Diceros bicornis minor: one gene and its partners. The main gene of each other region encodes a partner of the protein of the gene in region 4 in a complex. Links are inferred from orthologs where the notes say so. Each region holds a gene or a part of one and is shown on either strand. Other genes may lie near its edges. The genes, in order: APOO, MICOS13, CHCHD6 and IMMT.

Region 1 (7,838 bases), on a different chromosome or scaffold from region 4:
TGAATGGGAAAGCATGTGTACTGGCAGTCATCTTGCAACCATAAGGGGAACCAATCTTACTATGGAAAGCCAAGAAAAGAGACCAGGTCCTTGATGACATCGTTGACCCACTGGAGTCTACACTTCCCCTGGACTTGGTGAGATAACTTTCCTTACTATTTAAGCAACTGTTTTCCTAGTTGAAAGCATCTTAACATAGGCTGTCCTCCGTGCAACTTTCCTCTCTTGATTTTCTCAACATCACTCTTTTGTGCTCCTACTGCTACTTATCAAAATTTGCTTCTCAAACATCTCTGGCCTTCCCTCTTCCTCTGCCTACTCCTTACATTTTGTTGTCCACCAAGGTTTGTTGTGATTTTTTTCTACTCAAACTACGTTTAGATAATTTCAGTTCACTGTATCTTCCCGTGACACAGGAGAACTGAGCTACTGGCACTTCCTCCAATGGAGTACCACTGCTAATGTTTCCCAACTCCTCCACCTGAGGAACTCCAACTTGTCTTTCAAAACTAAATTTAAATGTCTCCTCTGTGAAGCCTCCCGTGAAGTCCCCAGGGGTTCCTTGCCTTTTTTGTGCCATAGACCTCTTTGGTAGCCTGGTGAGCCCTATGGACCCCTTCTCAAAATAATGCTTCTAATTCCATAAAACACCTATTGCAATAGTTATAAAGATATTTTTTAAACCCCAAATCTGATATAGTAATATGTGCTTATTAGCTCATTAAATAAAAAGATCTAAGAGTGAGTCTTATAACTACTGTAATTTTGAAGTAGTGATGAGCATAAATGATATTCTGAGATCTGCAACACCTGTAATGCAATATGAAAATGTCTGTGACATGCATTGGTCCTGTGACTTCTACTGGTGACAGGTACTGCTACTACTACTGTGGTTTGTTGCTGTAGTAGCTTATTAAATTAATCACTCCCAGTGAACCACACGGCCTCATATCCATGCTCTGATGTGGTCCTCCACCATACTGACTCTGGGCTTGGCCATGCGACTTGTTTTCACATCAGCAAATGTGATGCAAGCAGGTGTTTGGGCATTGGGACTAGCCCTCTTGGAACCCAGTAATCATGTGAGGAAGCCCAAGTTAGGCACAGTGAGGGGCACCAAGCTCCCAGACATGGGAGTTAGGCCACCTTGTAGCCTAGCCACCACCTAAATGCAGCCACGGGGGGATGGCAGCAGAACTGCCCAGACAATCTACAGATGGTGAGAAATAATAAATCATCGTTGTTTCAAGGCACTGAGTTGCAGTGGTTCACTATGCAGCAAGATAACTGAAACAGTTACCTACATTTATAACTGAAAGAAATGCTAAATTTCAGTTGGAGATTGGTGAAAATAAAGATTTTTTCCCATCAGAGTTCAGGAACCCCCCGAATTCTATTCAGACTCTCTGAAGGGCTGAGGACCACAGGATAAGAACCCCTAGTTAGGCAGAGCAGATCCTGCTCTCCCTTTTACCAACATGGTATATTGTTGATACCCATGTCAACTGATCACAGCATATTCTTTGTTGTTGCAACCCTAAAACTGAGCTGAGCTCCTAGCACATTATAGGCGTTCAACACAAATTTATCAAATGAACATAAATTGCTTTTGGGCTCTGTCATCCTGACTAAACTGGGACCTTCCTGAGAACAAAATAAAAGCGAATACGTAGATGGCACTTCTATGTGCCAGGGTTTCTTCCAAGTGCCTTACACACACTAACTTTTTTATTCCTTATAACAACCCTATGAGGAAGATGCTAGTCCCCCCAATTTCACCTATTTGAAAACAGGCAAAGAGAGGTTAAGTGACTTGCCCAAGGTCACACAGCTAGAAAGCTGTGATGCTAAGATTGGAAGACAATCCATGTTCCGATTTTATAACCTGTACTAATGTGCCCAAAGTACACTGCAGGAGCTCAATAAAACTTTTAAATGAGTAGTACAATTTTGAAATTCCATTAGCATTATTTTATGGTTTCTATGCTTCTTGAAGACTCAATTTTGTAGACTAATTTCTGGTAGCTTGTGATTTGTTCTTCGTGATAGAAAATATCATTTTTTTTAAAGTGGTATGATAATGGCTTCACGTTAAAATGCAGATTTTCGAACAAAGTCTTCACTGTAAAAATCAATTTCTTTCAAAGACGACGAGTTCATAAAAGTAAAGAGGGTCGACTTGTCCATACTAAATAATGCTTCCTGGGGAGGAGAGCAAAGCTCCAGCTTCTCCCCTCACCCAGCCATTCCCATGCCAGCCTCCCCTACACCCTGCAGCAGCTTCTCCAAAGTTGACCCTCCCCCATTCACACACCAGGTTCTGAAACCTGACTCTGCCAGGCAACCAAAGCCGAACCCTGCAGTGCCTTGAGCTGGCCTCACCCTACCCACGAACCCAAGAGAGCACCAGCCGGTGGGGGGCAGGGTGGAGACTCTGGGGGGTACTTTAACTTTTTAAAGTATTTTATTAAGGAGAGCACGACCAAAAGAGCTCCCCCACCCACCCCGGGGTCTCACGCCTCCGCCCGGCAGCTGCTCGCTCCAAGCGGACAGGTGAATGAACCGCGGGGCTGGGACGCAGCCGGTCCGGAGGCGGGAAAAGCCTCGGGACGAGCCGGGCCTGGTCCCCGGAGAGGCCCACAAGAGCTCGAGGAGGGCTCCGGGAAGCCGAGAGGGGGCGGTGACAGCTGCGACCCGGTTCCACGCTCTCACCTTGAACATGCTGCTGGCAGCGGCGGTTCCGGCGGGGTCACCCCGGCCCCGGCCCCGCCCACTACAGAGAGGCGGATACGGCGGCCGGGTAGGGCCCTGATTCCTCCCACTGCAGGCGGGCCGCAGTGCGGATGACGGCCGGCCGTACAGCCAATTCGATCCTGCGAAAGCGTAGTTCGGAAGCGTGGGCTGGAAGCGGCGTCGCGGAGCTGCAGAGCGTCGCGCCCCGGCCCAAAAAAACACAAGCCCCGCCCTCCAGGAAGCTCCGCCCCTGAGCCGGCGGTTGCTAGGCGGCAGGAAAGCGCCAGCTCAGTGTGGGCGGCACGCGGGGGCGCGAGGAGCGAGGCGCCGGGCGCGGCACAGCACTGGGAATCGGCCTTCGCCGCCGCTATTGGGCGCCCAGAGGCGTGGGCTGGGAATCCTGTGCGCCGAGGCCGCCGGGCGAGGGCGCTCGGAGGGCCTCGGGCGGCTGCGAAAGCCTCGCAGCCGGAAGCCGCTGACCTCGGGGCCTGGATTCACCTCGCAAAAGGTTTTCCGATTTTTTTTTTTACTGTGGGCTGGACGTTTCTGAGGTTTTAAATTTAAACTAATTTGTCACGTCCTTTAGTCTCGAAGGGCCCTGATCTCTTTTTTTCTCTTTAAAATACTTAAGCGTATGCCCCTCACTGAGAATCAAATGTCGGTCCCTTAAAACTAGTAGAAATAAGTAATAATGACAGTAATCAGCTTATGAACAAGAATAGCGAGCACTAACACGGCAGTTTACTATGTGCCCAGCTCTTATCTAAGCTCTTTGCACGTATTCATCTAATCTTTCCGACAACCCAAGTAGGTGGGCACGATTATTATTCCCAATCTAATAGATGAGGAAACTGAGGCACAGAGAAGTAATTTACAGGGCCACACAGAAGGAAAATGGGAAGCCAAGATCCAAACTAGGTAGTCTACCTTTAAAGCCTGTGATCTTGCCTAAATAATTATTATAGTGTCTCATAATGGGGGTGTGTTTCATATTTCATTCTTGTTTCACATCCTAACCCCATAAAAAGTGTAAATCCATCCAGGGGGGCATCCAGAAGAATTTGGGGATTTGTGTGATGGCGTGTCACTGCCATCCAGCCAAAGACCACTGGGAACACATCTGTAGTTGAACAAGTTGGGTTTATTTCTCATTGCTGCGAGGAAAACCCACACCTTGGAAAACAGTGGGGCATCTCAGTAATTGGGTGTTACAAAGATTTATTATAGGATTTGGGCTTTGGTTGGGTGATTTTGGGGTGAGTTCAAGGAAGAGGGGCTTTGCTCTGGATTGGGTGTTGTTGGGAAGCCGGGGTAACACTGAAGCCCAGCTGTGAGTGCCAGGCCAGCTCCCGGGTGTTAAGGGCTGCTTCTCTCTTTCTTGAGAGAATTGTATGTTCCAAGCCATCCCCATCCCTATCCCTAAGGAGAAATATTGAGTAGACTCTGAAGGCTCTGCATAAGTAAGGGAATGCCCTATTTATATAAAAGTGTGAAGTATAGTGATAAATTAAGGCAAGAGTTCTTAATTCAAGGGGTACGTGAACTTGGATGGGGAAAAATTTACAACTTTATTTTCACTAACCTCTAACTGAACTTTAGCATCTCTTTCAACTATAGTGTAGGCAAAAACCACAGTAGTATCAGCAGTCTCTGTGGCTTTGTCATCAATAGAAAGCACAGATATTTTCATATCACATTACAGTCATGGCAGATTTCTTGAAATATTTCTGCTCATTACCACTTCGCAAGTACAGTAGTTATTAGAGCTCTCATTTTACTGAGTGCATAAAGAAGACACATTTCTATGATTTTATTTTTGAAAATATTTTGAGAATGATTTCAATATAATTGGAGTCCTTTGTAATCCTATGTATTTTATGTTATGCATTTAAAAATATATAGTTCTTGGGCCGGCCCCGTGGCTTAGCGGTTAAGTGCACGGCTCCGCTGCTGGTGGCCCGGGTTCGGATCCCGGGCGCTCACTGACGCACCGCTTCTCCGACCATGCTGAGGCCGTGTCCCACATATAGCAACTAGAAGGATGTGCAGCTATGACATATAACTATCTACTGGGGCTTTGGGGGAAAATAAATAAAATAAAATTATAAAAAAATATATATGTATATAGTTCTTAGAGTCTGTCTGTAGGGTCCATGGCACCAAAAGAAAAGATCAAGAGCCCCTGGTTTAGTAGAAGAGACTAAGCAGAGACTAAGAATTTGGGAGCTGCATCCAAATTGGAGTAATGTGTCAAAGGATAGAAAGAGGTAGAATCAGATCATTAAGTACACACCCTCTCATTTTGCCAAGGAGAGAACTGAGCTATTGAGAGGTTAAGGGACTTGCCCAAACTCACACAGCTATTGCATGATAAAACCGGATGGAAAGTTTTTAGACAAGCTTGTAAAAACCCTCCTCTCTGCTAGGCATTGGGGATTCCATAGTTAGCAAGATGTCTCCTGATGTCTCAGCGAGCTTGTTGGGGTGACAGCCAAGAAAACAAATATGACGCGATATGAGAAGTACTGTAAAAGAAAAACATATACAGTATTATGGGACCTTGGAGACAGGAGTGAGCAGTTCTGTAAAAAAGAGAAGGTGAAAAACTTCAGAGAAGAGGCATCAATTAACTGGGGTCTTGAAGGATGAATTGATGTTTGCTGGTGGTAGAGAAGTCATTGCAGGTAGAGGAAGTGGCATGATCAGCGGCAGAGTTGTAAAACATTGAATGATTTTGGCAAGAAGTTCTTGTTCTCACAGAGCATGGAGAGGAATGCTGATGAAAGTCGGTATTTTGAGATTTGAAAGAGAATGGAACTAGATTTTGAAAAGACTTGAATGCCTTTCTAAGGAGTCTGGGGCTTTAGTTTGGAAGAAATGAGGTGTCCCTGAAAGATTTTAAGTTGGGGAGTGATAAGGTTGGATTATTGCTCTAAAAAGTTCATTCCAGCTGCAGTGCAGACAATGTAAACTGTAAGCAACATTAAGAGATCCACGATGCCTTCCTTTCTAAGGGGTTCCGGAATTAGTGCAACAATCATATGGCACTTGAGTCTTGTCCAGTGTAATAATATAGATTATGACCTCAAATGCTTAATTTATGTACTTTCAGAGTACTCCATTGTAAGGAAAATGAGTCGTTCCTCAAAGGCATTGGTTACTGGTGTTTCAAAATCAGATAATCCACCTTCAGGAAAAGGCCGCAAAGTACATTCGTCAAATATTTTAAAGACAAAGACAATACAAGAGTAAGTAGCCGTCTATCGCCTGTATCATTTTCCACAACTGGACAGTTTCCATACGGTATTTACCTAGCTAACATCCAACATTTCTTGTTTTGTAAGTTAGAGGTTTTGTGTTTTAAAATTACTTTTGAATTGAATAATAACTATTATAATTATAGTATTTCATAATTTACAAAGTATATTAACACACATCTCTTTGATCCTGACACAACCCGGTGAAGCAATCTTATTATTACATTTTGTAGATGAGGAAGCAGCAAGTGGGAGAAGGTAAGTGATTTGCAGAAGGTTAAACAGCTAATAAATGGCATCAGCTGGGATTCAAAGATTTGTTTCCATATTTCAGGCCTTTTTTACTCTAACATCTTGTAGTCTGCATTTTGCCAGCTAACGGTGACGTTATACAGGAGTACCTACCTCTCTTTGCATGTAGCCCTATGAGGGGTAGTGACAGGGTGGGCCAATCTCAGAGAGGTGGATCCCTACAATCTGCCAGTGCTGGGATATGATCAAAAGTAGAATAATTCTCTGGCCTGACTGGGATAAGCCTGGTTCAAGCAAAGATCAGAGAAGGGAGTTTCTTTTTCTAGAGCACGGTCATCTGCTCCCAGAAGAGAATGGGGCCTGCTGTAACTTTGACTATTCCTCATTCTATTTTCATAGCACTTGAACTAGTTGGACAGTGTTTTTAAGAACTAACCATAATGGAATCATTTTAGGTCATGGATGTTTTTAGAAAACAAGTTTGTCCCCTCACACTTTTTATTTATAATATATATGCCTTTTGATGATAAAGTTTAAGCCAGGACTGTTTTTTGATCTCAAGGGAAATATCAAGTATTTCATATCCTCATTCTGACTAGATTCTGCAAATGACCAGTTCCAATTACCACATCCAAATGTTCCTCATTAGGTCAGCTTTAGGGTGGGGGATGGGGAGGTACAGGAGGAGGAAGCATAAATTCAGAGCTCCCCAAGATTTTAGGAAAATGAAAAATATTTCACAAATCTTAGCCTCTTTTTTTCTCTCAGAGTTAATAAAGATATTTCAGCTCAAACGATACAGAGAGCTTGGTTAGCTCATATGGACAAAACAATATTTCAGCTCCTAAAGCACACAATTTGTGCAGCGGTATGTATTTTGCTTTTTGTTTTCTCTGACAGATTTAATTACTTATTAAGCTAAAAGGTCTGTTAAGTAAAAGTAGAATATATAACCTTTTTTATCTCTTCTATTTGAATCTAATAATATTGCATGGGGTTCTGGGATTGCTTCTTCGGTTAGCCCTAAATGAATATTTCTGGATTTATTTTTAACATGGGTGACTATTATTTCTTTTTCTGAAACCAGTATGATGTTTTTAAAAATTTGATTTTTTTATTTGAAGATGTGAGACAGTGATCTTCCAACAATAAAAATCTCTGAATTAAAAGTACCCTTACCTTCTACCCAGCAATTTCACTTCTAGGAGTTCATTCTACAATATATGTACAATTTCATTGCAGTATTGTTTGTAACAGCAAAGAGAGTAAACTACATAATGTCCATTGATAGGATGCTGGTTAAATAAGTGTTGGTGCTTTCGTAGTGTTAAACCTTGCAGCCTTGCATATGATTCTGTGATAGAAAGATAGCTAAGATATCTCGTTAGTGAAAAAGGCAAGTGCAAAACACCATGAATAATATGGTCCTATTTGAGTAAAAAAACACACACAAAAAAAACAAAACAAGATGCATATTGCCCGACTCCCCAAAAAAACAATTCTGGCAACCTTGGCAGAGTATTAAGCCTTCCTGCATATAGTACCAAATATTCTTCTAATAAAATCACCCATGATTACAGTAGTCTATAATTAGTA
Region 2 (6,416 bases), on a different chromosome or scaffold from region 4:
GAGCCTAGAACCAGGGGGCGGGGCCTGGGACTAGGTGGGGTGGAGCCTGGCCCGTGAGGGCGGGGCCAGGGCCCAGAGGGGGCGGAGCCATGGGTGCAGTGGGGCGGGGCCTGGAGAGGGAGCCTGGCCTGGAAGGGTGGAGCCATGGCAGAGGGGGCGGGGCCGTGGCACGGAGGGGCGGGGCCTGGGGACAGGCGGGATGGAGCCAGGCCGAGGGGGCGGAGCCATGGCCGCGGAGGGGCGGAGCACCTGCAAGAGCCAGCGTGTGGCTTGGGCGCTCCGGGCCCGCGTGCCGGCCGGGGCGGAGCCGAGGTGGTTCAGCACGAGGTAGTCCAGCCCGCCTGGCCGGGAGAGGTCCGTCAGCCCGGAGCTACTCCTTGAGGCTCCGCCCCTGGGACGCATGAGACTCCGCCCCAGCCCCGCCCCCTTGGACTAGCAAAGCTCTGGCCAGAGCATTGACCCAATGAGCTCCACCCTAGGTAGCGCCCCACTTAAGATCAAAGAGACCCCGCCCTACTCCCCACATCCTGCCAGACTTTGGTCCCTGATCCAATGAGGCCTGGTCCAGAGTTCCGACCCCTGGATGCTATAAGGCTCCACCCTTAGCCACGCCCAGGGCCCCATAAATCTCCACCCTCAGAAGTCTGTTACTACCACACCCCCACCCCAATTCGGGTCCTGCCCCTAAGGCCTAGGCCAACGTCCCACACTCCAGGCCCCGCCCCTCACCCAGCTTGTCCAGCGCAAACTGCACCACGCGCCCGGGCACCTCGGGGGAGGCCATGTCCGCAGCGATGTAGAAAACCTTGGGAGCGCCCAGCTTCCGGCAGTTCCCTACCACCTGGAGGGCCAGAGCTGCCCGTGGGCCCCTCCACCCCAGCGGGCCCCCCTCCACCTGCCGGGCCCATTGGGGCCCCAGCCTGAAGCCCCCTCCCCTACTCTGGGCCTCGGGGTTCATTCGCCATCATTCCGAAAGCTTTACCACTGGGGTCGCAAACTGGCAGCCTCAGGGCCAGAATAGGGGGTATTTTACTTGCTTAATCACCAACATTTAAAACTCAGAAGATTTCAAGTAAATCTCAGATTTCTGGCCTCTCTTGAAATTTTGGAAGGTTCGTCCCCAAGAGCTGTACATTTCCTTGGGGCATCAACGGGCTATTGCTAAGAAATGTCCACCATCCCTCTTTTGAGGCTGAGAACCCTGGCTATTGGCACAGGCCCTGGACACTATTAATACTGCCATTTATTGAGGAACATTCCCTCCTTCATACTCACTGTTTTATTGCATCAACCCAACATCGCAACCCATGAAAAGGCACTTTTATTGTCTCTGTTTGTAAACGAGGAAACTAAGGCTCAGAGAGGTTAAGCGACTTGCCCCAGGTCACACAGGAAGCCTGGATCCTTGTCGGGATTCAAACTTAGGCCTTGTTTTCCTCCCCACTCCCACTCCCACCATTAAACTCGAAATGGGGAGTCTCACCTTCTGCAGGAGGGCCTCGGTGTGGGCAGTGAGCACGAGGTGGGAGCCCAGGCGTGCGTAGTGGTAGGCCAGCTCCTCGCCGACGCCTGCGCTGGCTCCAGTCAGCAGCACACGGGCCCCCTGGAGGCTGGCTGGCAGTGAGCACAGGTGCTCAGCCTACAGGGTGGACAGGCCAGCCGGCCCAAGTCCTCCGTCCGCCACCCCAGGCGCTCACCTGGGTTGAAGTTGTCATCCCAATAATAGGCGAAGAAGAGGGCTCCCAGCCCGGTGAGGAGCAGTACCTTCATGGCCCCGCCTGGTCTGCAGCGGGAGAGAGGGTGGCCGCACAGGTCTGGCCCACAGGCACACCCGTTTCCCCAATTTCGATGAAGATGCTCCTGGCCCTGCCCCCTTCTCCATCTCCACTGCCACCACCTGGTCCAAGTCACCATAGAGCTCACCTGAACCGCTGTACCAATCCCCTTCCCTCTTGAGGGCTTTCTCCCTCCACGCAGCAACCCAATCACATCTTGCCTTCTTCCACTGAAAATCCTTCCGACAGAAGCCACACTCCTCGATGGCCAAAGAGGCCCCGCAGAGACCAGCCCTTCTTGCTGACTCTGCTTTCTGCCACACCAGCCTCTTAGCTGTTCCTCAGAACCAGCCAGTCACCATCTGCCTCAGGGCCTTTGCACTGGCTGTTCCCTCTGCCAGGAATGCTCTTCCCAAATATAACCCAACGGCTTGCTCTCTCACTTCTTTCAAGTCTCGCAGCAAAAATTACCTCCTCCGAGGGCGCTTCCTTGCCTTCCTTTTCTAAAGCACCTCCCTTCTGGGTTCCTCTCTCTCCCTGACCTCTAGAACTTTCATCTCCTTCTCAGCAACAAAATCATCTTGATGATTGTTACGTGATCACTGTCTCTCTCTCCCCCCAGAGTGTCAGCCCCACGAGGGCAGGAAGGAAATGAAAACCTGTTTTGTTTACTGTTGGGTCTTCAGCTCCCAAAACTGTGCTAGGCACACAGTTGGTGCTCAATAGATACTAGATTGACACAGAGGGATATGAGGAATGTGGGGGGGGGGGCCCAGAAAGACGACTGTCTGGAGACACCCAGAAGGAATTGGACACTCGGGGCTAGGTTAGGGACAGAGGAGCCCATGTCATCAGGGTTAAGACAAGACTTCAGCTGTGGTGGCCGATTTACTTGCTCAGGGAGAGGGCAAAAGAGAAATAGGCCAGGTACCGAAAGTTCGGGGGGTCATGGAACTCCCCTGAAAAGGGCACAAGCCGATCACATCTTGGGGTTTGTATCCTCTGAAGTAGGTGGGACAGAGGATGCACTGCAAAGTTCCACCTGCCTCCTGCGTCCCTCCCACCCGATCCTCGCCATGCAGCCAGGGGATCTTTGTCAAAAAAAATCCGGCAAGTCCCTTCCTGCTCCAGACCCTCCCAGCGCTCGCCACTGCCCCCAATGGAGACCAAGCGCTTCACCCCAGCCCACGGGCCCAGGGGTCTGGTCCCCGCCCACCTGTCCATCCTCATCTTCCCCCACTCTTGTCTATGAGCTCTCAGAAAAGTGAACTCCTCGCCCTTCCCCAGTCACGCCAGCCGTCCCTTCACCAGGGAACAAGCTCCCATCTCTCCCACTTCCAGGGGAAGTCCGTGAAGCCCCTCAGGTCAACCCTCCTCCCACCCCCGGCCCTGACACAGCAGCTCCGCAGGGGTCGGATGGGTGGATGGGTGGGTGGATGGGTGCGTGGGTGGGTGGACGGACGGACGGACGGACGGAGCAGCCAGGCTGCGATGGGGGAGGAATGGGGGGAAACAGATCCTCGCAGAACCCACCGGCTCCCTAACTTGGCCGGGCTTCAGTTTCCCCTCTGGACAAACGGGGTATGAAACCCCAACCGCGCACTCACCCACTCCAGCCTCAGTTTCTCCCGCGGTCCAGCGGGGGTGGGGTCCCGGCGCGGCAGCCAAGCGCGAGCCCCTCGGGCCTCCGCGGCGGCGTCTGGCCTGGCCCCCGACCGCGCCCCCTCCCATAAGGCCGGAATCACGTGATTCCCAGCCCACCTTCGAGGGTGGGAGGGACCAGACAGCAGGGACTCCGCGCTCGGGCGTTGCCGGGCAACAGCCTCCCGCCGGGCTCTCCCCTACCAAGCAGCGGCTCTGGCCCCGCCCCCTGGAGGGAAGCCCCACCCACCGAACGCGATCATATGACTTAGGCCCCGCCCCTCTCGCACAATTCCGCTCCCGCGTTGCCGTGACAACCGGCTTGGAGGCACACTCTTCCTGAGCCCGGGCTCTTCAGTCCCCCGCGCGGGCGCGGGTGGACCTCCCCGGCTCCGACATCTTCTTGGGTCACCCTCAGGCCCCACTCCAGACATCCGACTCCTCTTTCCCCTCACACCCCCAGGGCAGCGCCGCGCCGGACTACCTTTCCCAGGAGCGTCGGGGGCTAGGGGAGACGTCGGGTGCCTCACGGGGCGGTGCGGACTACATTTCCCAGACAGCTTTGCGGCGGCCGGGCCCTGACCATTACGCTTCCCGGAGTCCTTTCGCGGTGGGGCCGCAACCCTCTCTGGCGTCTTGGAGCCGGGACGAGACTCCGACTCCCAGAGGGCTTTGCGGTTGACAAGGGCGACTACGCCTCCCAGAGGCCTCTGCGGCGCCGCGACCGGAAGTGGCGGGCGAGTCCGGTGTCCTTGCGCGCGGAGGGGAGCGAACATGGTGTCCCGAGCGTGGTCGCTGATGAGGTGCGTGGGGTCGCCGGGCAGTCTCCGAGCCCCCGAGAAAGTCCCCTCCCGCGGGCACCCCCCTCCAGTTTGCTCCCGACCTGCTCTTCGATTTCCGTAATGTCAGGTCTCCATGGCCCAGACGGGGAAACTGAGGTTCAGGCGGGGAGAGGCTTCCCGAGGTCGCTTCGCAGCGAGCCCTTGCCCCCCCCGACTCTCTGTATCCAGACCCGTCTGAGCCTCAGTTGCCTGCTCTGCAAAATGGGGGTGCGCACGCATTTATTGGGAGGTTCGTGCGCGCCCAGAGCGCCTGTGACATATAGGAAGCGACCAGGGACGCTTAGAAACCACTCCCGCAGGTTGCTCGGGGCCGTGCCTCCCGGGGCTGGAAGGCAGAAGGTCAGGGGTCTTAAGTCTTCACTGTCCTCTGCGGGATCATGAGTGACCCCCTGGCCCTCTCCGGGCCTCAGTTTACCCGTTAAATGGGGTGAGTAGCCCTGTTTTGCACACTGTAAGTTGAGTGCTGTGCGTATCAGGCTCGCCTCTGGGCCCCGAGGGTGCCCTGTGCTTCCCCTCTTAGCTGCCTGGCTTCAGGTATGTCACTCTGGGCCCCCAGGGGCTCCGACTCACCCCCACCCCACCCGTGGCGCTGGACCCCCCCCCCGACGGTGGCTAGCAGTGTCCCCTCCCTGCCCGCAGGTTCCTCATCAAGGGCAGCGTGGCCGGGGTTGCAGTCTACCTGGTGTACGACCAGGACCTGCTGGGGCCCAGCGACAAGACACAGGCGGCCCTGCACAAGGCGGAGGAGGTGGTCCCCCCGGCCATGTACCAGTTCAGCCAGTACGTGTGCGAGCAGACGGGCCTGAAGATGCCCCAGGTAGCCTGCGATCCGAGTGAGGCTAAGGCTTGGCGGGGGGGTGGCTGTCATCTCTGGGGTGGCCTTCGGTCCCTGGTCCCTCCAGCCCTGCGTGGCGTCCTCTGAATGGGGGCCTGTGCTGCTCTGCCTGCCTCTGCGGGGGGGCCGGGGTTTCCTGTCCTCTGTCACCAGCCCCTTCTCCCCTCTCTTCCCAGCTCCCAGCCCCCCCAAAGTTTAACTTTCACCTCCGCGAGTCCTGGAATTCAGGTAGGCCTGGGGAGCTCCTCTGCTTGGGGGGGTGGCCTCGGCTACCCCAGTCTAGCACCCCCACCCCGGCTTCCTGGCCGTGCCTCTCCATTCTCCCCTTCCTGTTTTGCGCGCGTCTCCCACGGATGTGAAGGCGGGAAAGGGCTGGAGGTTTCAGGGCCGTGGGAGCAAGATGGAGCCACATGGGACTGGAGCTCGCGGCGTGACCTCAGACAAGGCGAGGCCCTGCCCCTCCTCTGCCTCAGTTTCCCCGTGTGGAATGGACGGAGCTGCAGGGGGCGCCTCTAAGAGCCTCGCGGAGTGGACTGACCCCCCCTGACTGAAGGCGTGGGCCCCCTTCCCTCCCACAGGCATCATGACAGTGATGTCGGCTCTGTCGGTGGCCCCCTCCAAGGCCTGCGAGTACTCCAAGGAGGGCTGGCAGTACCTGAAGGAGCGCGCCAAGTAGCCTGTCAGAGGGGGCCTCCCGCCCCTGTCGGGCACAGGGGCACGGGCGCCACCGACCTGGAGACTCCAGACTGGGACCTCACTCCGAGGGCAGCTCCCGGCCGTGCCGGCCCAATAAAGGACTTCGGAAGTGTTCCTTGACCTGTGTGCTCGCCCCCGGGGCGGAGGGTGGCCCGGTGGGCGCCCAGAGCACAGGGGCTGGGCTTCTGGCTCCTGGGGGCTCCTCAGGCCTGACATTGACCGCAGGCGTGGTTCACCCCTGATGTGGGGAGTGGGAGCAGACAGTTGGCCCCCGTGCTCCGTAGACAGTGCTCAGGACCCTGGGGAGGGGTGAGGAACCCAGCCTGGGTTGGGGGTCTCGGTTCGTGGAGGTCTGAGCCCAGGGTGGGGCAGTCTGGGAGCGGGGGATTCATGGTTCCTTCGCCGTCTACACGGCGAGGAGCCCCTGCGGGCAGTGATTCTCCATCCTGCTCAGCTCACTGATCTGCCCGTGTCTACTCTAGTCTAGTCCCCCCTCGCCTGGTCTCCACATTTGTTACACCCTCTCCCCACCCCCTGGGGATTCCTGGGGAACACAGGCCGGTGGTCATGGCCGTGCAGGGGATCTCCCCAGCCCACGAGATGTCCCCTGCTCCCCTGGGAAGCCTT
Region 3 (7,083 bases), on a different chromosome or scaffold from region 4:
ACGACCTCCTTATTCTTGATCTTGGGGGAAAGTTTCCTTCTGGCTTTTAACATTGACAAAAGCAAATTACTTTTCTTAGTTGTCTACTCTACCAGCCCTTCTTTTCTTCTTCTCTGCTTCTGGAGAACCCAATTTAAGAGAAGCTACCTGACACAACTCCCCCTCCAAACAACCCTCAATACTGGTTGTGAAACTGTTATTTCCAAAAATAAAATCTTTCAGTAATAATGTTACCGGACACAAACACAGGTTATTTTACCGATCACACAAGAGGGGCCAAAATAAAAACTGGAATGCCAGGCTCATGGCAAGGAAAGGGTTAGCCAGATGAGGACAATGGGAGCTAAATCTGAGATCTACCTCCTCAAAGGGAAAAAGGTAGGGGTTTTTATTTGAGGTTTTAGGCAGGGGAGGGGGAGCCTGTGGCCTTGCAGGTTGGTGCCTTCCCACCAGCCTGCTTTCTACCTTGTGAGGCTGCTGGCAGGGAAGGAGATGGTGAGATGAGGGAATCTGCAGGTGGGTGTCCTTGGTTGTCTGTCTCCATGATGGACGGTGGGTTCTGGTGCCAGGAAGCCCAGGAGTTGGGGTCTGGGAAGCTTCAGCTTCTTGATATTCGCTAGACATCAGTTTCCCTGTAATAAACTTCAAGAATACAGAAGTTAAAGAAAGCGATATTTACATGTGAATGCAACTTGGAGAAGCAGGGAGAGGGGATGGGTGCTTTTGGTTTTAACCCCATATGTGCTGGGGTTAATGGAGGAGAACTGATATCAGGGCCAGCATCAATAACAGCTGTCACTGAATGAGTCCACTAAGTGCGGAGCTCTGGGCAAGCACTCCATGTCACGTCAGCACCACTCTCATATCCGTCAGAAAACGGAGGCGCAAGGAGATTCAATAACTTGCCCAGAGGCAAACGTCTAGGAGGCAGACCTCAGCCCTGCACTCGATCTCACATCGCCACATCTCACTGCTCTCTTCAGCGCTGTGCTCTTCTCTGGGTACGTCACCGCTCAAGAGCCTTCTTGGCCAGAGGTAGGCCACAGTGTCATTTCCAGCTGCAAGGCACAAGGGAGTCTGGGGAGGGAAGTATTTTTTCCCCAGGTGCAGAATTTTATTTTATTTCCTAATTATTATTCTGAAAAATTTCAAACCCATAAAAACAGTGAAATAATAATAAATGGACTCGAATATATATTTCACTTAGATTCACCTATTGTTAACATTTTTTTTCTGAATCTTTTGAGGGCAAGTTGCAGAAACTATAACACTCCACCCCTAAATACGTCAGCATGCATCTCCCAAGAACAAGAAAATTAACATTAATTCAATAATATCATCTAGGACACTATTCCACATGTAAAACTTCCCCAGTTGTCCCAATTACCTTTTCATACCCTCGTTCTTGTTTTTGCTGTTATCGTTTTAATCCAGATCTAATCAAGATTCACCGTTGCATTCCATTGTTATGCTTCTTTCATCTCTTTTAAACTTCCTTGTTTTGTGTTTTGTTATGTTTTTCATGACATTGACCTTTTGGAAGAGTTCAGGACCATTGTTTTGCAGGATGTTTCACATTCTGGATTTGCCTATTGTTTCCTCATGATTGGCTTCTGGTCACATATTTTTGACAACAATACTCCACAGGAGATATTGTGTGCTCCTTACTGCATCGCATCTGGAGGGCCATCACGTCACGTTGTCCCACTCTTCACAATGCTGAATTTGGCCATCTGGCTAAGGCAGTGACTTCCAAGTCTTGTCATTGTAGCACAGTTTTCCCTTGGTAGCTATTAAGGCATTTGCGGTGAGACTGGGAGGTTGGGTGAACACCCTGTTCCCCAATCACTTATAGTGAGCTATACCCAATAGCTAGCTATACCCAATCTTCTGCTGTTACAAATTATGCACTGATTACTTTATATGTACCTACTTTATTTCATGTTGTTATCACTGCATTTTGGGAAGACATTCCTAGACGCAGAATTGATGAGTAAAGGGTAAATGCTTATGTAATAATCACTAGCTATTGGGTATAGCTAGCTATACACGATCACTAAGCTATACCCAATAGCTTTAGTATCCATTGATGATTTTTACCTGATTCAGTTAATTCATGGAGGGTTGCAAAATGGCAATTTTTAAATCTCACATTTATTTGCTGGTATTCTTTTGTAAAGAAGAGGTTTCCTTTTTTTTCCATCCTCTCTCTCTTTCAACACATGGACAATTGGATTTCGAAAAAAAACTAAATGTGTTATAAGCTCAAATTATCAAATTGTTATAATGCTTAAACTGTCCCAAGTTTGGCCAGTGGGAGCCTAGGAGGCAAATTTTTCTAACCAGGCACATTGCTGCACCAAAGGGAAGTGGGGTTCTGTTGTAAGGAAAGGGAGGATGGGTACTGGGCAGCAACTCGTGGGCCTGTCACAACATCTTACCTCCCCAAGCCTCAGTGTCCTGGGCCTTAGGACAGGGTGACAGCTCTCTCAGGATGGTTTCCAGAACTAAATGAATTGGCCATGGATTAACTGCATGAAAAGCATGTGTGCCTGTGTCATAGAGCCTGGCACAAAGAAAGTGCTCAAAATATATGCATTTCCCTTCCCCTCTTCTCCTCTGCTTTCCTCTGCCATTGGCTTTGCTCAAATCCTCATTCTACTTTGGATTTATAATGTCACATTATCTTCACCTGTTAGTGCCTCAGTTTTCTTGTTTGTGAAATGGGGATACAGAACTGGCTGGGTTGTCAGGAGGCTCAGCTATGCTGCCATGAGTATAACGCCCACTCTAAGTGTCGGGAGGTTTCAATTCTCTCCCAGGATTTTGCACACAGGGGGAGACCACACACAGTCTCATGGTCACCTGTGGCTCTGACTCTTGTTTTGCTGAGTTAGTTCAGTGTGTTAATTATTTCGTCATTTGACCCAGAAGTGAAATCCAGCCCTTTTCTTAATTTTTACAACCCTCTCCCCACACACATGGTCACATATGACATTTGGGTGTCTGGTAGACCTTGAAAATTATTTGGAGCGTGTAGTGGGTGCTGAAGGTGCCTCACCCAGATTTTTTTACTAGCTGGTGAGGCCATCCCCAGCCACTGTGGGTGTGGCTGTCGACAGCTCACAGATGCCCCCTTTGCTGGGGAATTGTCCTAGGCGCAAAATAAAACTCTGACCCTCGCCTATAAGGCCGTACGTGATCTGGGTCCTTCCTGTTCCTCTGACCTCTTTGCCTCTGGCTCTCCTCTGCTCCTTTCTCACTCTCCAGTCCCGTAGCTGGGCCGTGAACGTAGCAAGGTCTTTCCTGCCTCAGCGCCTTTGCACTGGTTGGTCTCCAGCAAAGTTCTTCCCCAGCTTCTCCTGGCTAACTCCTACTAGTGCTTAGGTCTCAACTCAAATGCTTCTTCCTCAGAGAGGTTGCTCTGGCCTCTCAAATTAAAGGATACCCCCTCCTATTAATTTCTCTCATGGCCTCGTGATGCTCTTGTTTTCCGTTTATGGCACTTAGTAAGTTTATTTATGCGCTTGTTTGTCTTTTCATTTGCTTCCTCCATTATATCTAAACCTCAGGAAGGCAGGATATGTCGTGTTCGTCGTTGTGTTCCCCACGGCTAGGTCAATGCTTGCCCGGTGCTTAGTGAGTGCTGCTCAATACCAGTTTGCTGAGTGAACCAATCAGGGAACCATCCGACGTGCGCCTCCACGTGCTCGGCTCAGCCTCCTCGGCGGTGTCCTGGCCTCACACCATCACCCTTGGCTCTGCTTCCAGGGTGGTCTTTCCAGAGCGAGCAACCATCTCCGTCGTGCTCCTTAGCCTGCCACTCCAGGTTCCACGTCCGCACCCACTCTCCGCTTCCCTCCAACACGCTTCCCGCAGCTCAGCCACCACGCCTCCCGGAGAAGGCTGGTTCTGGAAGGGCAGCCGGGGCGGTGAGACTACAGCTCCCACAATGCCTCGCAGGCCCGCGCCACATGATTGGCTGAGCTTCCGGCAGCGGCCAATAGGACGCGGTGTTGTTGGCTTGTGCCGCGGCAGCCCGAGTCCTGGGAAGTGCGGGGCGCGCAGGGAACGCGGCCCGGCGTCTGCTTGTGCTCCGAGCTGGGGCGCGTGGCTGCTTTGCTGCCTGTCCGCCTCCTGCCATGGGCAGCACCGAGAGCAGCGAGGGCCGCAGGGTGTCCTTCGGCATGGATGAGGAGGAGCGGGTCCGGGTGCTGGAGGGCATCCGGGTGAGCGGGCCGCCGGCGGGCGCGACGAGCGAGCGCGACCTGGGCCGGGCGGGCGGACGGCGCCGAGGGCGCGGAGGCCGGGCGGGTGAGGGAGGTGCGGGCCGGAGGGCGAGCGGCCTCGCCCGTGAGCCCTGCCGGCTCCCTGGTGGCGAGCGGCTGTCCCTCCGCCGTGTAGAAGAGGACGTGAGGCTCGGAGATGCCCGGGGTCCCCGCCCGGGGAGTGGCCGCTGGAAGGTTTCACCGCCACCCTGACGTCAGGCTGGCCCCGGGGAGAAGGAGTGGAGAACGGGACAGGTGGGGAGGCCACGTTCCAGCTCCGGGTGGCTTGTCACAGACCTGAATTTTTCCCCCGCCCTGGTGCGTGCATCTTGTTATGTATACAGGATGCTTCCAATCCTGGACACCTGCCACAGCCTCTCAGCACCGCAGCCACGGGGCACTTGAACAGTTGTGAATCATCATATACCCTTCCCCCTGCTTAAAACCGTCCGCTGGATCCCTAGCGCATTTAAACTGAAGAGGAACCGCCTACCTTGTTTTACAAAGCTGTGCTGCTGACCTCTCCGACCACATCTCATGCCAGCTCCGTCACTCCCACCCCCCATCTATTCACTAGCCTCAGGTCTTCCTTGTCCCTGTAAGGTGCCAGCTTGCTCCAAGCACACAATCTCGGCATTCGCTGTTTTCTCTTCCCCAGCTTTTCTAATATCTAGATCTTATCGTTATTGTTCAAATATTATATGAACATCCTTGCCTGACCACTCGATCTAAAGTAGCTTCCCACCTGCACTGTCACACTTATTTTTTTCATAGTACTCATCGCCATTTGAAACGTCTATTGATAATTAACTTGTTTATTGTGTTTCCCACTACAGTGTAGGCTCCTTGAGGCTCAGGCTCTTGTCCAGTTCCTGAGTGTTAACCCCAGAACTTAGAAGAATTAATAAAAGCAGCTCACATTTGAGTGCTTAGTGGGAGCCATGCGTTGTGCTAAACCCTTTACAGGTATCCTCACATTTTCAACAGCCAAGAGGTAGATTTCTGTTAGCCAGTTTAATAGATTAAGGACAGCTGAGGCACTAAGAGATGCAGTAACTCATCCAAGGTCACTAGGTAACAAGTGGGCTAGTTGGGGTTGAAGTAGGCCAACTTCAGGGCCTGTTCATTGAATGCTTCCTATCCTCCTGCACCTGTGCCTGGGACATAGTGGGTGCTTTGTAAATAATTGTTGAGTAATTAAATGGATGAACCCAGTGAAACAGGGGCCAAGTTTAAATGGAATGCACAGAGTTGGTGAATTAGTTAGGGAGGTGGCTGAGAAAAAGACATCGGGAGGTCTAACTCCTGGGCAGATGCTCATTAGCTTTGTGACCTTAGGTGAACAACTTATCTTTTGAATCTCAATCACCACATTTTTTAAAAAAATGGGAGGAGGGTGTGATAATCCTAGGTGCTGCCTCAGATAAGATGAAGATGCGTGTGGAGGTGTTTAGAAAAAGTAGAGTGTTTTGTGGGAGCCTCTATTCTTAGCATAGTACTTAGCACGTTTGGTGCTTGCTAGGTGTTATCTAGTCTTGACCTGGCTCTTGGCAACGACAAAATAGGGAGGAGATGGACCGCATTGGAAGATTGAGAGGCAGGAGCCTGAATTGGAATTTAGGAAGATACCCTTGACTCTGTTTGGGTGCTCTCCCACGTTTGTCACTTGGTATCCTGCTTTTGGGAATGTTGGAAAGATAGGTCAGTCAGAGTCCCTTCGAAGGTGACTTCTAAGTTCACAGATGAACATCTTTTTTGGCTATATCAGACAGGTACATTTTATTTCTAGTTCTCTTAGCAGTTCTGCAAAGTATAAATTCTCTTTTAAGATGGAGAATCAGGCTTACAGAGGTTAAGAAATTTTTCCAAAGTGTTACCTGAGTAACTTCTGGGACTTTAATCCAGATATTTGGGTTTGAGCAACAGCCTTTTCTCACTACTCTAAGCTCCCTCCTCCTAGTGATATGCAAGGCAGTGTGAACATTCTGTGACAAAGCCTCTACCTGTCCTGACAGGGTGCTGGTGCCCACTTAGTTCTTCCAGACTGTTAAAACTTGAGGGAGTTTTGGTGACTGACTGCTGGGCAAACTCATCAAAGAGAATAAATGACTTGTCTAGAGGCACACAGTGGGTGCGCGGCCCCATGCTCTGAGAGCCCCTTCCTTTCTTCCTTCTGCTTGTGTGCCTGGTTTCAGAGAAGGAGATCAGAGAAAGGAGGCGATTGCAATGAAGTGTTTTGGTGTAGGGGCTTTTTCTGCTAGCAAAGTTATTTTGAGGGTTGGGGAGTCCACCATGTCTTTAAGCAGACAAGTGGAAAAAATAAGTAGAAGAGATCATTGAATGAACCAGTGAGAACTTAGTTTAATAGAAGGTAGAAACTAAACAAAATGCCCCAGCTCCTTCAGAGAAAGTTAAATATTCTTAAAGACCGCTTGTATTTAATCCCCTGGGCCTGGTCCTGGAAAGTGCTTTAGTTCCCTTAAAATTAAATACCAGGGCCTTGCTAGTTTGCACACTTATTTGCATAAATTTACATATCAAGTTCAAGCCCTAATTCCATGGAAGGTAAAAGAAATTTAATTAATGCAAAATGCTGCAATTATATTAAACTCCAGTTTTCAGAGCAAGCATGTGTGAAATTATACATAAAGATTTCATTTCAACCAGTATGTTTAACCTCATCCTTCAATAAGAGAGGGTACACACGTGGCAATAACGTCCTGTGTATGTCCACTTTTCCTCTTCTCCACCCCACGTAAGCAGCCCACTTTGGTAATTCAGCTGAAAGTTGTTGCTTGTCAACATCCAGACTCCT
Region 4 (7,916 bases):
GTTTGACAATTTCTTACAAAACTAGACATGCTCTTACGATGTGATCCAGCAATTGCACTCCTTGGTTATTTACCCAAAGAAGTTGAAAACTTACATCCATACAAAAACCTGCAGAGAGATGTTTACTGCGTCTTTATTCTTAACTGCCAAAACTTGGAAGCAACCAAGATGTTTTTCAGTAGATGAACGGATAAACTGTGATACATCAAGACAATGGAATATTATTCAGTGCTAAAAAGAAATGCGTTATCAAGCCATGAAAAGACATGGAGGAACCTTAAATGAATATTACTAAGTGAAAGAAGCCAATCTGAAAAGCCTATATACTATATGATTCCATCTATATGACATTCTGAGAAAAGCAAAACTATGGAGACAGTAAAAAGATCAACGGTTGCCAAGGGGCGGGGTGGGCGAGTGATCATTATGTGGAGCACAGAGGATTATTAGGACAGCGACAATACTCTGTATGATACCATGATGGATACACGTCATCATACATTTGTCCAAACCCATAGAATGTACAACACCAAGAGTGAACCCTAATGTAAACTACAGACTTTGGGTGATCACGATACATCAATGTAGGTTCATCAATTGTAACAAATGTACCACTCTGGTGGGGGATGTTGATAATGAGGGAGGCTATGCATGTGTAGGGGCAGAGAGTATATAGGAAATCTCTGTACCTGCCCCTCCATTTTGCTGTGAACTTAAAACTGCTCTAAAGAAATAAAGTCTTAAAAAAAAAAGGGAGATGGGAAGAGAATACTTTGGGGGTATATTTAGAGGTCAAGGAAGAAGCAAACTCAACAAAGGGAAACAAGAGAGAAATGAAATGAAGGGTAAGATGGGACCCAAGGTACTACACGAGAAAAGCCACAAGAGCAAAAGGGGTTTCACAAATCAACAACATCAAATGCTATAGAATGACTGAGGAGATAGTAAGAATAAACCAATGAATTTTACAAGACAGCAATTTCAGGGAGGTAAGAAATATTGGTTGCAGGCTAGAAAAGGGTTCATATTTTAGTAAGAAGTTTTAACCAGTTTTCTTCTAATTTCCTAATCAAAATCTCAATAAATGGAAAAAATTTTGATGAAGACAAGGAAGGAAAAAGTAATTTTGGATTGTAGGGCAGACAGAGGGGACAGATCAGTGACAACCATAATGTAACCTGAGGTCAGAGCAAGGAAGAGTGTGTCATGAAAGGAGGGCTCCAAAGATAAACTTCAACAGTTCTCCCCTGCAAGGCAGCTCTCTCCCTCCATCCTTCTACCCCCACTTGACAGGATGGTAGGCCAGATTCTAAGATGGCCCCATGATCTCCAGCCTCTGCTGTTAGCCCATTATTACAGTTGTATGGCAAGAGGCATTTTGCAGATGTATTTCAGATTACTAATCAGTTGACTTTGAATTGGGGTTGAAAAGAAAGGTCATCCAGGTGGGCCTGGCCTAATCATGTGAGCCCTTTAAATCTGGGTGTAGAGATCAGAAACAGGGAAGTTAAGAAAGATTTTGAATCAGAGAGACAAGCTCCCAGTAGCCAGCAAGAAAGCAAACATCCATGTTATGAACTGCCTCTAAGGACCTTGTGGCAAGGAACTTCACGCAGCCTCTAGGAGAGGCAAGGCGAGAGCTAGCAAGAAAACAGGGACTTCAGTCCTACAGCTGCAATGGCCTGAATTCCGCCAACAAACCACATGAGACTGGAAGAGGACCATGAGCTCCAAATGAGAACTACAGCACAGCCAACACTCTGACTGCAGCCTTGTGACAATGAGCAGAGAACTCCAATCATTCATGCCCAGAAACTATAAGATAATAAATAGGCGTTGTTTTAACCTACTAAATTTGTGGCATTTGTTACATAGCGATAGAAGACTAATACAGACCCCACTTTCCTATGGAAAAGGCTGTTTCTCTTACCCTGGCAACAAATGGAGAGATAAGCAAATCTAAAAAAAAAGAAAAAAAAAAAAAAGGAAGTTTGACTTTTATGATTTTTAACCCATTGTGTCTAGAGATTTTGTCCAATTACTGCTTAAGTCACAGTACCTGTTTTCCAATACAATATTTTGCCAAAATATCAACTTTCTTTAAATTGTGAGCAATGGAAACAGGTTTACCTTTTTATTTTTAATTTTGGAAAGTTACTTTAATAATTATGCATAAATAAATGTAACTGGGTGTTTAGGTTCCTTGAACGTCTGCCAAAGATGTCTCGGCACCTAGAGACACAGATCCCCAGTCTGATCTCAGAAATGAGAACAAGGTCATAACTCCTGACTTTCCTCAAGTACCAGGAGTTTGAGCCCCATAAACTACCATCTTCCATTTTTGTTTAGAGTAAGAACAGCTTTTCTCGGCTAGGAAAAGAAAGGTAGTCCCTCCTGGATAATTACAACCTTGACCCCTACAACGCGGACTCGAGCAGTTCAGCCACCTCCTTATTAAGATAAGCCAAGGCCATGCAAGTCCTGCTGGGAACTGTAGTTCTCTCTCCTCGACCTTCAACCACTGCCTGCGCTAAACCTATCACGCGCCCAACCGGCGACCCGGGCGCCAGCAGCCACGGGCCTTGACTGGGGCAGCGCGGGGCTGATTGGATGAAACGTCCCCGAAGCCTTGCCTCCCGTCCTACGCCCGCCTCCCCGCCACCTTCTCTCCACACCCCAACCCGCTTCTGCAATAACCCTCAAGTCATCCCTGTCGCGCGAACTCCCGAATTAACTGCCTCACAGGCCCGCCTGGTTCTCTCGCAATGAGGGCGCCCCTGAGACACGCCTCTGTCCCGGGGCCCAGGCAGAGCCAAAGCCTCCCCCATTTTCCGCTGGTTGTCTGCGATCAGCCTCACCACGCGCTCTCTCCCGGCGCCCCGCGCTCACCTGAGCGGCGGCGGTCACGCCGGATAACTGACAGGCCCGCAGCATCTCCGCACGATGGACGGCGCTACCAGCGTACGCGGGAACAGCCGCGGCGCGCGACTAGGGGAGGGAGTGCGTTGCGTGCGTGCCTGCGTCCGTGCCGCCTTTCCGCGCCGGGCGTACCGGAAGAGCAGCCAACGCCACTGCGCACGCGCAGCCTTCTCTCTCGCCCTCCGCAGGCAGTTCGGACAGGGTGGGGCCTCCCCGGCGGAAAGGACGATTTCTCCTTCCGGGTCGCTCGGGGTTCCTGGCTGTAACCCAAAGTCGGGGTTACTAGGTGAACGGGAGGGGAGGGAGGGCGTGTGATACTCGGGCTTCGATCCGCCCGGAAAAGGGATTGGTGTGACTATTTGGAGAATGCGTGCAAGAAAGCATCTCAGCCGTCACTGGCAGCTGGAAATTTCGTAGAAGGGAATCGATTTGGCCAGAGTTACGTGAACAACGGTGGTGTCTGGGTTTGCCGTTTGTTTCGTTTGACGGCACTTCTTAAGGGAGTCACCCACTTTTCGGGAGACTGGGTGAACGAACACAGGAGAGACCTTAGTGCGGAGTGTGTCATTCACGTATCTAATAAATGGCCGAACGGGGATAGGAACCTAGACTCTTCGGGTTCCACAGCTTTTACTCCTTTCAAATTAAACCAGACTACTTCCTCCACCAATTTTTTATTTTAGAATGATAATTTTGGCTTTAGTCTGTGGGATGGGTTGGAAGATAAGGAGGTCAGTGCAAAAGCACTGTTCAAATTATTCCACTGAGTCTATGATTAAGGTATCACATGTTAAATATTAAACACAGTATTCAATACTATTAGTATTACTAATGATCATCATCAAAATATCATAGAAACTAAGTGACTTGTATATCTATTGTGTTTGCAAAGTCCTTTCAAGTCTTAACTAGGTTATGTATTACAGTATGGTGTTCTCCTTAGAGGTAGACAATGCTACTGATCCCATTTGTAAAATGGAGAAATATATTTGAAAGTTATCTAAAATCAAATAATTCCTTATGTTTGTATATGTTCAATGCTTTTTAGGGTACTTTAGTAATTACATTATACTCTCTAATTCATATCGCCATGGCCTAATAGCCTCCAGAGCGGTTTCCGTCTAATTTTAGCAATTGCATTGCCGTCTCCCCACTCCATCCCTGTCCACTGCTGTCATGCTGAGTCATGCCAGGGTGATGACTTTTCTGATAACTTGGCCATAAACCTCTCGATGCTGCTGTGCAATTTCAGTCTGCTCCAGCCATGTATGGCACAGCCACACCTTGCACATCATTAGCAACTTCTCCGGCTTCAAGATCTCAAACTCCAAAATTAATTTCTATAGTTTCGTAACCTCTCATTTAACCAAGTCCTAAATCTTCATCCTCCACGTGCAATTTATGAAAATTTTTTTGCTTTAAAATGAACTCTCCTAAAGTAACTCAGAAATTGAAGGCACTCCCCTGTTCAAAAATGTGCAGTGACTCCCACTGCCAATTCAAAGAGCCTTCATAAACTGTCTCAGTACTTTTGCAGCATATGTGGATGTTTAAGGCCCAAAGTGGGGGCTGGCCTGGTGGCACAAGCAGTTAAGTGCGCACACTCTGCTGCGGTGGCCCGGTTCATGGGTTCGGATCCTGGGTGCACACCGACGCACTGCTTGTCAAGCCATGCTATGGTGGCATCCCATATAAAGTGCAGGAAGATGGGCATGGATGTTAGCCCAGGGCTAGTCTTCCTCAGCAAAAAGAGGAGGATTGGCAGATGTTAGCTCAGGGCCGGTCTTCCTCACAAAAAAAAAAAGGGCCGGCCCCATGGCTTAGCGGTTAAGTGCTTGTGCTCCGCTACTGGGGGCCTGGGTTCTGATCCCCGGTGCGCACCGACGCACTGCTTCTCCGGCCATGCTGAGGCCACGTCCCACATACAGCAACTAGAAGGATGTGCAACTATGACATACAACTATCTACTGGGGCTTTGGGGGAAAAATAAATAAATAAAATTATTAAAAAAAATTAAAAAGGCCCAAAGTGGCCACACTACGTGGGAAGGCAAGATAGCAACAATAGCATCCAAGCTTGTCACCTGCTTGTATACACTATAATCCAGAGAAATAAAATATAACCATCTCAGTGGTTCCCAAAGTGTGATCTGGGACTCTCTGGTGAACCTGAAACACTTTCAGAGGGTCCATAAAATCAAAACAATCTTCATAATATTAAGATATTATTTGCTGTTTTCACTCATTATCTCATAATTGTACAATAGAGTTTTTCCAGAGGCTACATGACAAGTGATATCGCAACAGATTGAATGCATGAGTGAACTTCAGAATCCAGCGTTCTATTTTTTTTTTTTTGTGAGGAAGATCGGCCCTGAGCTAACATTTGCCAATCCTCCTCTTTTTTGCTGAGGAAGACTGGGCCTGGGCTAACATCCATGCCCATCATCCTCCACTTTACATGGCAGCCGCCACAGCATGGCTTGCCAAGCCGTGCGTTGGATGCACGCCCGGGATCTGAACCGGCGAACCCCCGGCCGCCGCAGCGGAGCACACGCACTTAACCGCTTGCGCCACCAGGCCAGCCCCCAGCTTTCTATTAAACCAGACCTTAAAGAGATTTGCTAAAAGGTTAAACAATAGACTCTTCTCACTAATTTTTTTTAACTGAGAATAGTTATTTTTCATAAAAATATTTATGTTAACATGTAATAGGTTTATAATTGTTTTTAAATGAATTAAGTGCTGTAGGCAGAATAGTTATCAGCAAATATGTCCACATTCTCCTAATGCTTGGAACCTGTGAATATGTTACCTTACGTGACAAAAAAAACTTTGCAGATGTGAGTAAATTAAGAATCTTGAGGGCTGGCCCCGTGGCTTAGCAGTTAAGCGCGTGTGCTCCGCTGCTGGCGGCCCGGGTTCGGATCCCGCGCCCACCAACGCACCGCTTCTCCAGCCATGCTGAGGCCGCGGCCCACATACAGCAACTAGAAGGTTGTGCAACTATGACATACAACTATCTACTGGGGCTTTGGGGGGAAAAAATAAATAGATAAAATCTTTAAAAAAAAAAAAAAAGAAAGAATCTTGAGGGCCGGCCACATGGCAAAACGATTAAGTGCGAGCGGTCTGCTGCTGGCAGCCGGGGTTCAGATCCCGGGCGCGCACCGAAGCTCCGCTTGTCAGGCCATGCTGTGGTGGCGTCCCATATAAGGTGGAGGAAGGTGGGCACAGATGTTAGCGAAAAGAGGAGGATTGGTATGGGTGTTAGCTCAGGGCTGATCTTCCTCACAAAAAAAAAAAGAATCGATATGGGGAGACTATCCTAGATTATCTGTGTGGGCATAAAGGTCTTTATGAGTGAAAGGGGAAGGCAGGAGGGTCAAAGTTAGAAAAGGAGATGTGACAATGGAAGCAGTCATCAGAGTGATGTGATTACTGGCTTTGAAGGTGGAAGGAGGCCACAAGCCAAGGAAAGCAGGCAGCCTCTAGAAGCTAGGAAAAGCAGGGAAACAGATTCTCCCTAGAGCCTCCTGAAGTAACACAGCCCTGGACCTTGATTTTAGCCTTATGAAACCCATTTTGGACTTCAGACTTACATAACTGTAAGATAATAAAATTGTGTTGTTTTAAGCCACTAAATTCGTGGTAATTTGTTATAGCAGCAATAGGAGACCAATACAATAAGTATTTTACATTTTTCTCCATTTTAATTTCCAATATAGTAAATAATAATAGGTATAATACATAATTAAAAGTTCCTTGGGGTCCTCAATTTTTAAGCATGTAAAGAGGTTCTAAGACCAAAACGGTTAAGAACCACTGCCCTAAATAAATCCTGCGTCCTTCTGTTTTGGTTCCCTCTCTCCTCACCTTAGCTCTTGGTGTTCTTACTGCCAAGACTGACCTTGTCCTTGTTAAAATCATCCCCATTCTTTAAGACCCATTTTATATTCTACCTCCTCATCCCTGATCACTCCAACCAGAAGCCTTCTCTCCTTAACTTGAACTGCCCCTATTAGTTATTTATCTTCCTTGTATTCATGTTCTGTACTTGTCTCCATATTAAAAGTGAACTCCTTAAGATCCAGTGTTCAACCCTTACCCATTTCAACCAGTAAATAGTGTTTATAGTAAATGCATGAAAAATCTTAGGGGACAAGGATGGGAGAGAGATTTGTTGGTTTTTTTCCTGCTTGAACATTAGAAAAAAAATGTATGATCACTAATTCTCAGGAATAAAATAAGGAACATAGAATTGTTCAGGAAGAGTTGAGATGCTGTTCTACAAATGGCAATCAGTGTTACTGCGTAGAAAAATGTGTGCGCGCGCGATATCCTTAGGATATTTACATTCATTTGATTATAGTGGCATTCAATTTTTTTAAAAAATTACTTTTAATAACATTGCTATTTCCCATTCATTTAGCCTAACATCTACCAGCTTTGGAAGGATAATAAGTTTTATTATCTCAAATAATAAAATGAGCAAAAAGAATTGTTTCAAGTATGTTGTGTACTTTAAATGTATTTTTCAATCAAATGCTCAATAAAAATTTGAGAGCCTACTATATGCCAGGCACTATTCCATAGGCTCTTGTTTTACAGCTTGTGAAGGACAGCCTGGCATAGAGAAGACATTCAATAAAGGTTAACTTGACCGTTCCTTTATTCATTTTTTTCCCCCTGCCTCCACGCCCTCCGAATTCCTTTCCCTAATTCCCTTTTGCCGTGAAGCTGTTAGACCCAATGCGGCTGCCGTAGGGCAGGGTAGCAAGATGGCGGCCTCTGCCTTTGCCGGTACGGTGAGAGCAGCATCAGGTCAGTGGAAAGCGGCGTGCTCGATTTATGCCTTCACAGAACGGGGAGCTGGCGCAGGATACAGTGGGCGTTCAGCGTGGAGGTTATCGGGGGAAAAAAAGGGGGGGAGGTCGTTATTTGAGGTCAGAGGGTTGTTCCAAAATTTCTCCAGGGCGGCCTATATTCGGCCTCCCG

Evidence for each region.
Region 1: IMMT (region 4) and APOO share a complex: the UniProt entries of both Homo sapiens proteins name them as parts of the mitochondrial contact site and cristae organizing system (MICOS) complex. The link is inferred for Diceros bicornis minor from reciprocal best matches to the Homo sapiens genes IMMT and APOO.
Region 2: IMMT (region 4) and MICOS13 share a complex: the UniProt entries of both Homo sapiens proteins name them as parts of the mitochondrial contact site and cristae organizing system (MICOS) complex. The link is inferred for Diceros bicornis minor from reciprocal best matches to the Homo sapiens genes IMMT and MICOS13.
Region 3: IMMT (region 4) and CHCHD6 share a complex: the UniProt entries of both Homo sapiens proteins name them as parts of the mitochondrial contact site and cristae organizing system (MICOS) complex. The link is inferred for Diceros bicornis minor from reciprocal best matches to the Homo sapiens genes IMMT and CHCHD6.

Annotation. Positions count from the first base shown.
Region 1 is NC_080781.1:20,078,778-20,086,615, forward strand, and holds the start of APOO (MICOS complex subunit MIC26), read right to left. Parts: upstream 3,006-7,838; 5' UTR 2,722-3,005; coding exon 2,713-2,721; intron 1-2,712. Other genes in the region: CXHXorf58 (uncharacterized protein CXorf58 homolog), read left to right, coding at 5,866-5,981, 7,011-7,110. UniProt on the Homo sapiens protein: Component of the MICOS complex, a large protein complex of the mitochondrial inner membrane that plays crucial roles in the maintenance of crista junctions, inner membrane architecture, and formation of contact sites to the outer membrane.
Region 2 is NW_026691615.1:2,511,134-2,517,549, forward strand, and holds MICOS13 (MICOS complex subunit MIC13), read left to right. Parts: upstream 1-4,091; 5' UTR 4,092-4,190; coding exon 4,191-4,219; intron 4,220-4,897; coding exon 4,898-5,075; intron 5,076-5,269; coding exon 5,270-5,321; intron 5,322-5,671; coding exon 5,672-5,769; 3' UTR 5,770-5,904; downstream 5,905-6,416. Other genes in the region: HSD11B1L (hydroxysteroid 11-beta-dehydrogenase 1-like protein), read right to left, coding at 730-841, 1,484-1,614, 1,698-1,814, 3,383-3,506. UniProt on the Homo sapiens protein: Component of the MICOS complex, a large protein complex of the mitochondrial inner membrane that plays crucial roles in the maintenance of crista junctions, inner membrane architecture, and formation of contact sites to the outer membrane.
Region 3 is NC_080741.1:91,423,568-91,430,650, forward strand, and holds the start of CHCHD6 (MICOS complex subunit MIC25), read left to right. Parts: upstream 1-4,074; 5' UTR 4,075-4,142; coding exon 4,143-4,229; intron 4,230-7,083. UniProt on the Homo sapiens protein: Component of the MICOS complex, a large protein complex of the mitochondrial inner membrane that plays crucial roles in the maintenance of crista junctions, inner membrane architecture, and formation of contact sites to the outer membrane.
Region 4 is NC_080751.1:3,826,065-3,833,980, reverse strand, and holds the start of IMMT (MICOS complex subunit MIC60), read right to left. Parts: upstream 3,009-7,916; 5' UTR 2,935-3,008; coding exon 2,890-2,934; intron 1-2,889. Other genes in the region: MRPL35 (large ribosomal subunit protein bL35m), read left to right, coding at 7,700-7,742. UniProt on the Homo sapiens protein: Component of the MICOS complex, a large protein complex of the mitochondrial inner membrane that plays crucial roles in the maintenance of crista junctions, inner membrane architecture, and formation of contact sites to the outer membrane.